2 linked regions of the Sus scrofa genome follow. The protein of the gene in region 1 purifies or fractionates together with the protein of each later gene. This does not show direct contact. Links are inferred from orthologs where the notes say so. Each region holds a gene or a part of one and is shown on either strand. Other genes may lie near its edges.

What was found.
Region 2: the proteins of SNX8 (region 1) and FBXW7 purify together in Homo sapiens (affinity purification with mass spectrometry; 3 studies listed by BioGRID and IntAct, counting the BioPlex papers as one, with this or other methods). This does not show direct contact. The link is inferred for Sus scrofa from reciprocal best matches to the Homo sapiens genes SNX8 and FBXW7.

The regions. Positions count from the first base shown.
Region 1 is NC_010445.4:1,616,000-1,620,416, reverse strand, and holds the start of SNX8 (sorting nexin-8), read left to right. Parts: upstream 1-1,425; 5' UTR 1,426-1,473; coding exon 1,474-1,567; intron 1,568-1,997; exon of another isoform or gene 1,998-2,012; coding exon of another isoform or gene 2,013-2,052; intron 2,053-4,417. UniProt on the Homo sapiens protein: May be involved in several stages of intracellular trafficking. May play a role in intracellular protein transport from early endosomes to the trans-Golgi network.
Region 2 is NC_010450.4:76,480,557-76,485,053, forward strand, and holds the start of FBXW7 (F-box/WD repeat-containing protein 7), read left to right. Parts: upstream 1-1,470; 5' UTR 1,471-2,574; intron 2,575-4,497. Other genes in the region: uncharacterized protein LOC110262137, read right to left, coding at 190-260. UniProt on the Homo sapiens protein: Substrate recognition component of a SCF (SKP1-CUL1-F-box protein) E3 ubiquitin-protein ligase complex which mediates the ubiquitination and subsequent proteasomal degradation of target proteins.

The sequences.
Region 1 (4,417 bases):
GAATGCCCTCCTGGTGACTAGTGCAGCCCAGATCCAGGATCACTGAATGAAGGTGGTGTGACCACATGTCAGGGGGGTAAAGTAAAATGATACATTTAATATGCCGTTTTTCTCCAGTAATGTCTAATTTTATGCTTGTTTAATGCTTCAGTTTTCAAGGCGCAGTGAGTGTTTAGATATTTAACAAAGATCTTATAATCTGGGGGGGGGGTCAGAGATACGTAGCAAAGAATACCTGGAAATTAGGAGGGAGAAGAGGGGGAGGGAGAAGCGGGGAGAGACCAGGCCTTGGAGGGGAGAAATTGCTGAGGACATCATTTGATGCAAAAACAGCTTAAAGGAAGCCGATCTGGCGGAAGGAAAAGCATGGGATGGGGGAGGTGTCAGGCTCAGCCGTGTCCCTCTGTGGCTTCGGAAAGCAGCTATGTGCCCATCTGCGGAAGGGGATGGCACTTCCTCAGTTATGCTGGGAGCCAGCTTGTTGTTGGTACCAACTCCCAAAGATGTCCAGTAGCTATAGCAAGGAGAACGAACCCCCTGGGGAGACTGGGGTCCTTCCTAGGACCCTCCCAGGGGCTCTGGGCTCTTGGTTACTGTTCCCGGCTCCCCCCCTGAGCACTGAGAGGCATCCCAGTATTAGGGGATCCATCCAGGGTCCTTACTTGGTAAACAAGACGCTCCCTGATGGGGCCCTACCCACCGCTCCAGCTTCCTCTTCTGCCCCCACGCTTTCAGCTCCAGGAACACCACAGCGTGTGCCGCCGTGTGATGTCTCAGGGCCTTCGTGGATGCGGGGACCCACTCCCTCCTCCTGCTGAATTCCTCATTCCTCCAGCCTCGGGTCGGGCTCTAGTCATCCTGAGAGCCTTTACCCCGGCAGTGCCGCGGGAACCCTTTGGTGCGGCGCTCCTGCAGCCTTGTTTTGGTTTTGGCAGTCGGGACATTTGCTCCACTCTGGTGGCCCGTCTGTCCTCCAGATGGGGAAGTACCTAATGCAGCTTTGTATCCTCAGCACCCAGCACAGGGGCTGCCTGGCCTCCAGGCGGCAGTCGGGAGACTTGAGTAAGCGAGCGAGTGGGTGGAGGGGTAAATGAGCCAACGACTGAATGACAGGGTGGGTAAGTGAGCAAATGAATGAGCAGGCTCCTGAGTGGGCAGACGAACGAGGACGTGAGTAAGCGGATGAGCGGGGAGCGGGTGAATGAACGAGTGGATGGGTGCCTGAGAGAGGGCAGGTGGGGGCTGATGAGTGGGCGAGGGCGCCGGCAGAGAACGCGCGGGGAGCCGCGGCGGACGCGGGGCTGCGAGCGCGGGCCTGGACCGCGCCACCTGCCCTCCCCTCTGCAGCGTGGCTGGGGCGGGGCGAGACGGGGCGGGGCCAGGGCGGGGATGGGCGTGGCGGCCCGGAGTGGGCGTGGCGAGGCCGGGCAGCGGCCGGGCAGGCGTGGAGGAAGTCACGTGGCGCGCGCTCACATGACTGGCGGCGCGATGGACCCGCTGCCCGCGGCGCCAGTCGCTGCAGCACCTGAGGCGGAGGCGGACGAAGAGGCGGACCCGCCGGTAGCAGGTACGGCGGGCGCCCAGCAGGCCGGGCGCGGCTTGGGCCCGAGACCCCTCGGCCTTCGGTTTTCTTTCTGCCCCCCGACGCCGCGCGCCCCGCCGGGTCCCCCTCCCACTCCCGCGTCCACGCCCAGGAGGGCGCGTGGCTCCGCGGCCCAGCGCGCGCGTTTGCACCTCGCCGCGCGCTTCTGCCCGCGTCTCCCCGGGGCTGCCCCGGTCCCTGGGGGCCCCGAGGCCAGGCCTCCGCGCGCTTCCTGCGTGCCGGCCTGCCCACCGCGTGGGGCGCCGTCCCTGGACCTGTCCGGCCTTGGCAAGTACTCTGGTCGCCCGGGACTTGGGCGTTTTCACCCGTCAGCCCGCTGTATTTCTCCCTAAGTGCTTTTTCTGATGGATCAGCGTGAACACGAAGAAGCATGCGTGAGGCTTGGCTTTTCTAGGATCTTCCTGTGTAAATGGTCCCCCCTCACCTCTCTAACTGGAGAGTAGATGTAGGTGGGTGTTGGTCTGAGTTACTGCTGCTGCTTGGTGGTGGTGGTGGGCACAAGGTCGGCGACTCTGCCTGGAGAGTCTGGAAAGGTGTCCTTGCGGTGGCTGTGCTTCCGATGCGTTCTGGAGGGCTCTGAGAGTTGATTCATTAGGGAGAAGAGGAGGCAGGAGTGGAGTGAAGCCGCTGCGGGTAGGGGCGAGGGGGTGGGCAGTGCATTGCGTTGGCCTAATTGACGGGAAAGACCCTGGGTGAGTCTGCATGTAAACAGCCCCCCCCTCCGCCATTGGTCTGTAGTTGTATTTCCTTTGACTGGAAGCTGCGTAAGGGAAGCATGTGATGGCTGTTGCTCCTGGTTAGAACATTGTGTTCCTGAGGGCACAGGTTGGCCCAGCGTTCACCCACCCATACCAGGGCCCCTGACTGGACTCCTTGGCGGGGTCACACTTGGACCTGCGGGGCAGTGTGTGGGTAGGAATGCTTTTTCCTCTGAGGACTGTAAAACAATTTAGAGTTGCTGGATGTGGTGGCGGCTCAGGTCTCTTTGCAGGAACGGGGCTGGCTGGCACTGAATGATTTCTGCCTGCTGGCCTTCCCTGGGGCTGTGGTGGTGGTATTCGGTGTTCTGCTACCATCAGGGTAGCGCTTCTCAGTTTACTGAGTGCTTTCCTATAGCTGACTGCGTCTCAAAGTGTGGTTCATGGACCTTCGAGATGTACGTAGCCTCTCGTTTTGTTCTGTTCATATCCTTATGGTCATCCTGTGAGGCAGGTGAAATGGTAGACCAAAACTCAGATTTTCTTTTTTCGCTTTTTACATTGGGAAAACTAAACCCAGAGGCAAGTGACTTGCCCAGAGTGGGCAATGTGGAGTTCCTGTTGTGGCTCAGTGGTCATGAACCCGACTAGAATCCATGAAGATGTGGGTTCCCTCCCTGGCCTTGCTCAGTGGTTAAGGATCTGGTGTTGCCGTGAGCTGTGGTGTAGGCCAGCAGCTGCAGCTCCGATTGGACCCCTAGCCTGGGATCTTACATATGCCACAGGTGCAGCCCTAAAAAGACCAAACAAACAAAAAAACCCAAAGTGGGCAATGCTTAGGGGGTATGATGTCTTATTGGGGATGGTGGTTGGATGGGCTGGAGTCAGAAAATCTAAGCCTTTCAGGAGTTCCCTGTGGTGCAGCAGGTTAAGGATCCAACATTGTCACTGCAGCAGCTCAGGTTGCCTCTGTGACGCAGATTTGATTCCTGGCCTGGCAATGTCCACATGCCGCAGGTGCGGCCAAAAAAAGGAAAAAAAAAAATCTAAGCCTTTGAGAGTGAATTTTATACAAAGATGTTATGTGTATCTCATGGTTTAGCAAAGGTTGATTCTGGCTGTTGAGAAGTTGTGGCTTATGGGTATACAACGAATTTCCTTTTCTCTGCTGTTGTCCAAATACTACCATTAGTATTAATTGTTGGAGTTTCCATCGTGGTGCAGCAGAAACAAATCTGACTAGGAACATGAGGTTTTGGGTTCAATCCCTGGCCTCGCTCTGTGGGTTAAGGATCCGGCGTGGCCGAGAGCTGTGGTGTAGGTTGCAGATGCGGCTTGGATCCCACGTTGCTGTGGCTCTGGCGTACGCTGGTGGCTACAGCTCCGATTCAACCCCTAGCCTGGGAACCTCCATATGCCGCAGGTGCAGCCCTAAGAAGACAAGAAAAAAAAGTATTAATTGTGGGGACTGTGGGGTCTATGTCTTTGTAATACCTTTAGGATTGTCGGGGGCGGGGGAATTGTGTGCACTGTGGTTTGCAGCCTTGTTACATTTTAACATTGCAGTCTTGTTACATTTTAATTCCTTGAAGCTTAAGCTGTGAGTGATAACTCCCTTCCTAAAAATTTAACTCTCAGTTATGGGGAACATGGACAAACACATTCTCTTCAGAACATACAGAACCTTCTGAAGTCTCCACCCGTTTGCCGTCACCCCCACTTAACCCGTTTGGGGCGGATCCTCTCTGGTTCTATGTTTTGTACGTGCGTGTGCTCAGGCATCCTACACCTGAGGCACGCGTGTCGCGGTTTCCCTGGGTGATGTTTTGGTTTCTACTGCTGCTGTAACAAAGTCACAAACCTGGCGGCCTAAACAGCAAAAGTTGGCCATTTTACAGTTCTGGAGGTCAGTAGTCCAAAGCAGGGTTCCCTGGGCTAAACCCAGGTGTGGGCAGGGCTGCGCTCCCTCCGGAGGCCCCGAGGGAGGAGCTGCTTGCTGGCCGTATCCAGCCCAGGGTGCCTCCCACATTCCTCGCCTGATCCCCCCCTGCGCCTGCCCCTGTGGCCTTGCCTTTCCTGTGCTGTCCACTCGCTGAGTCTCTTTCTCTTGTCCTCT
Region 2 (4,497 bases), on another chromosome or scaffold:
ATCCATCCCCCACCCCATCACTTTCTAAACAGCACTTTAATAAAATATGAGCCCTTGGAATCGCCCTATTAAAAGTTTCCCTGGCCTACTACTTGAATATGCTGGTGGCAATAGTGGCAGAAACCCGGAGCTCCCAAGGTCTGTCTCTTGCTCCTCAGCCCTTGAGGTGGAAAGACTTTTAATACCCACCACTGACGCTTCCAGAGGAGGTACGGTGTCCAGGGTCCAGAGACAGTACTGTGGAATCTGCTTCCTTTCATCCTTACTGCTTTTATCTCATTCTCACACTATGCACCAGGCCAGGTTCAAGACAGATTTCTGAGGATCTGGTCCTTTTATTTTAAAATTTCTTTGCCTAGAGAACTACGTTCAACCTGATGAGTTTTTACGTGAATTTACTTTCCAGGATAACATTTCTAGGAAAAGCTGCATAAAGAGTAATCATGTTTATCTGACACACAGGCCAACGTTTCTTGACGACGGTAATGGACAGTGATTAACAGCCAACACCAGCTCTCCCAGGCACCAAGCCACAAGCAAGACTGAGTCCTAAAAGGGAGTCGCTACTAAATTCGCCCTCTTGAAAAAGTAAAAAAACCCTTCCACAGTTCCGGGAGGATGGCTCCCCTCCCTCGTCCCGGCAATTCGCCTCCTGTTTCGCTAGACTCAGCCTGTGACTCCTCACTCAAGCCGCACCCCCACTTCCTCCGGAGGCGGGGGGACTGAGGGAAGAGGGACGCCTGACAACGCTCATCTTGACAACGCTACGCAGTCGGCAAGGCGCTTGCACTTCCGTCGGACTCCTCTGCACTCCACGAGTGAGGCATTCTTTCATTCATCAAACATTTGCTCGGCCCGACCACGCGTTATCTGGCGCTGAGTCTCGCTCCACACCGCGGAAAGGGTGGGGCGCTCGCTCCCTCCAGCAGGTGCAGCGGGCAGAGCTGTAAGATAACTTCTCGCTCAGCTGGGCTCTCCGAAGGACCGTCTGGGGGCCAAATGCCTCACCTTCGGGTGGTGCGCGCCCGACCGCAGCCGGGCGGCCCAGGCCTCCTCCTTGCTCTCCAAGGAGCAGTCACCACCTGCTCGGAAGGAAACCGCTACAGAGCACACTCTCCCCGCCGCCCTCGGGTCAGGGGTAGGATCCGGCGGCAGCTTAGGCTCCACTCGGCTCCTCCCCTTCCTCTTCTCAGTTCTGACGCGGCTGTAGAGGCGGCGGCAGCAACAGCGGCGAGTCCCGCGGCCCGAGGTGCACCCACCCGCTCTTGGAGCCCGACTTCCTCTTCCCTTGGCGCGTCATCAGCGCGCGTCCGTGGCACCCGGGGCGGGGTTGTTGGAAAGGAGGAAAGAGGCCCGCGGAGGACGGCTGCGAGCGGAAAGCGAAGGGGAGGGGGGGAGGGAGCGGTTGCTAGGTGACTTACGTCATTGCTCCGCGCCGCTCTCCTCCCGCCCCTCTCTCTGGAGTGAGGCGAGAGCCCCGCACTGAGCGAGCGAGACAGCGAGCTGAGCCCCGGGCGCTACAGCCGCCGCTGCCGTGATCGTGAGCGCGAGAGAGCCTCCGAGGGACCCGGCCTCCGTGCCCTGGCCACCGCCGAGACCTCCGCCCTAGCCGGGGCCATCGGGAGCCGCCGCCACCCCTCTTCTCCCCCCCTCACCTTTCCGGCCGGCAGCAGCGGCTGCACACGCCGGAGCCCGAGCCCAAGCCGGAGCCGGTGGCTGGGGGGCAGGGAGGCGGCTGCCTCTGGCCGGGACTAGCCAGCCGCTCCGTGGTGAGAGGACGCTGAGGAGGGGCCGGAGCTTCTGTCTCGTCCTGGGGCGCGGGGCGAGGACCCCCAAGGTGGAGGGAGGGGGTCCCAGCCGCAGCGACACATGCGGGAGCCGGGAGCGGGGGCGGCGCCGAGCGGAGCCGGCCGGGTCCCCCACCTCGCCGCCGCGTCGGCCACCCGCCCGGGGCCGTAGCATCCCGCCTCGGAGTGTATGAGCCGGGCCCCCCAGCTCGGCAGCCACCCCCCGGCCGGGGGGGCGGGGACCCCGATGTGAAGCGGCGGCCGGGGCGGCGGGGACAGCAGGACCGGCGCCGCCGTCCTTCCCTTCCCTCCCCCCTCCCCTCCGCCCCCTCGGGGGGCTTCTCCCTCGGCCCGTCGCCGGCCCCCCGGCTCCTCGGCAGGACTCCAGGAGGAGTTCTTAGAGCCCCCTCCCCAGCCCCAGCCCCGAGGGCGGCGGGGCCGGGGGGGACCCGGGGGGCCGGCCGCAGTCTCCGCCCAGAGTAAACTTTTTAAAAACCAAATCGGGAGCCTCCCGAACGTGACTGTCCGGGGAGAAGTGGCCCAGGACGGGCAGAAGACCCAGCCTGAAGAGACGCAGGAAGAGGAAAAAACAGAGGTAAACGGGGCCACCGCTGCCGCCGCCTCTGCCCCGGTGGCGCGGAAGAGAGACCCGGGTGGCTGCCCGGCTTCGCGATCCCAGCCCCGCTTCTTACTCTGTAAGGCGCCGGAGCCTGCTCAACTGCCCTATCGGTCCCGAGGAGGAAGAGAACCAGCTCACTTGGTCAGCGCCCCGGCTCATCTCTAAAGTGTGAGTGGCCCGGGAAAGGGAAAGGGCGGCGGGGACGGGGGAGGGGGTAAAAAGGGGGAGGATGCTGGTGCGTCCTCCGGAGAGTTGCAGATGCTTTCCGGGAGCGTTGGGGGTGCACACAGGAGAGGGTATCTTAGTCCTCCCCGCGGGGAGAAGGCATCAGGCAGCCCTGACTTTGTAACCTTTTAGCTCTCTGTACCAGACATACGCAAGCTTTCAGGTTTCTCTTTGAGGAGTTCTTTCTCCAGAGTGGACGCTTGCACTTTTCAGGCCAGTAATTAGCAAAGGGAAATTGAGGAAGCCGGAGCCTACGTGTGCACAAAGGACATCTCTGTAACCTTACCTTTTCCTGGCACACCGGGTGGGAACGGGCGCTGTAGTTTTTGTGTCCGGGCAACGCTTACTTGGTTTCCCACGTGGGAACCTCCGTGAACCCCTGAAAGTAAAATTCCTTTCTTTTTGGGCAGCCCCCTCTGAGAGGCTGGGTTTCAGTGCCTATCAGTACAGGAGTTTTTCGGGTTCTCATTTCCTGGGTGCAGCCCTTGGGTATCGAAGGACACCGTAAGGGATTTCAATTATGGAGGAAATTCTCAGTTTTTAGGAATCACAGTTCATTTGGGGGAGAGCATTGAGTACTTTAACCAGTTTGTAAAAGTTATTACATTTTTTTTGCAAATGCCTTTTTTTTTTTCTCTTATGAGTAGCATATGTCCTAATTGCTAACACTTTTTTTATTTGGTGAAATGACCTAAAGCTTTGCTTATTTGGGTTATCTCATGGTTCTCTACCTGATGAAGAGAAACTTCTGATGTGTAATTCTTTGAAGAATGATTTTCTCCCCTTTATTTTAACAGTGAAGTCTGTAAAATCTTTGATTTGTATTTTAGTTATTTTCTCAAGGTGCCAGATGAAGGGACAGGAAAGTAATTTACCATTTCATATATTTGTACAGACCTTAAGGGTTAAGCATAGGGTGGATTTTATATAACAGAACTAGACAGTACTCTACTGAGAACTGCGTGAGCTCACGTTCTCTGAAGCCACTGCTGAGAGAAGCTTTGTGGGAATGAATGTAAGCCTGGGGTTATCTAGGCTAACTTTCACATTCAGGATCTTGAGTAAACTTACTTAAAACGTTCTCTAATACTTTTCATTTGGTACTTTTTCTCTTTTCAACTAATGAATTCTGCAAGTTTATTAGCCCCAGAATTATGCAACAGTTCATTTATTTAACCCAGACCTGTCTCTTGAAAGTTCCAAGGCACATCCTGAGTTTGAGTTTTGACAAATGCTAGAGCAAACCAGAGTTCATCGTCTCCTGGTTTTGTAGATTTTGATTGTTCCTCTCTACCAGCATCTTTCCTGACTCTTTTTGTCTGTCTTAGAATCATTTCTTCCATCCCTTTGATTCCCTCTGGAACTTCTTCAGCTGTTTTGTTGTTCTTTATTTGCCTTGTTCTTGTTCTGCTTTTGTTAGGAACCCTAAATTCTATCTATTTTAAGTAGACTCTGACATTAGACTATTGAGTTGTGGGCATAATGTTAGACAAGGAATCAAAAACAAATGTCTCTGGACCTGTTCTTGTGTGACCTTGAGGAAGTCATGTATTCCATGCTTCACAAAGGCAGGAGGAAGAGAAATCTAGTCCCGAATAGGCTGTGTTTTGGGGGGAGGAAGGAAAGACAAGCCAGCAAGTTAGTTTGAGTGTAGATTATACTCCATCAAAGTTATTAACTTTAAGACTTTTATTGCTTTGGCTATAGATTGGTTAAAAATCAAGGTAATGTTTTATTGCCTATTTGGGTAGCAAAGAAACAACTAAGTATTCCGGGGATCCCTGCCTTTGAGATGCTTCTGCTCGCAGGTGGCAGAGGCCGTGAAACCCAAATTGCACAGAATTGTAGACCTTCTTTTTCACTCTT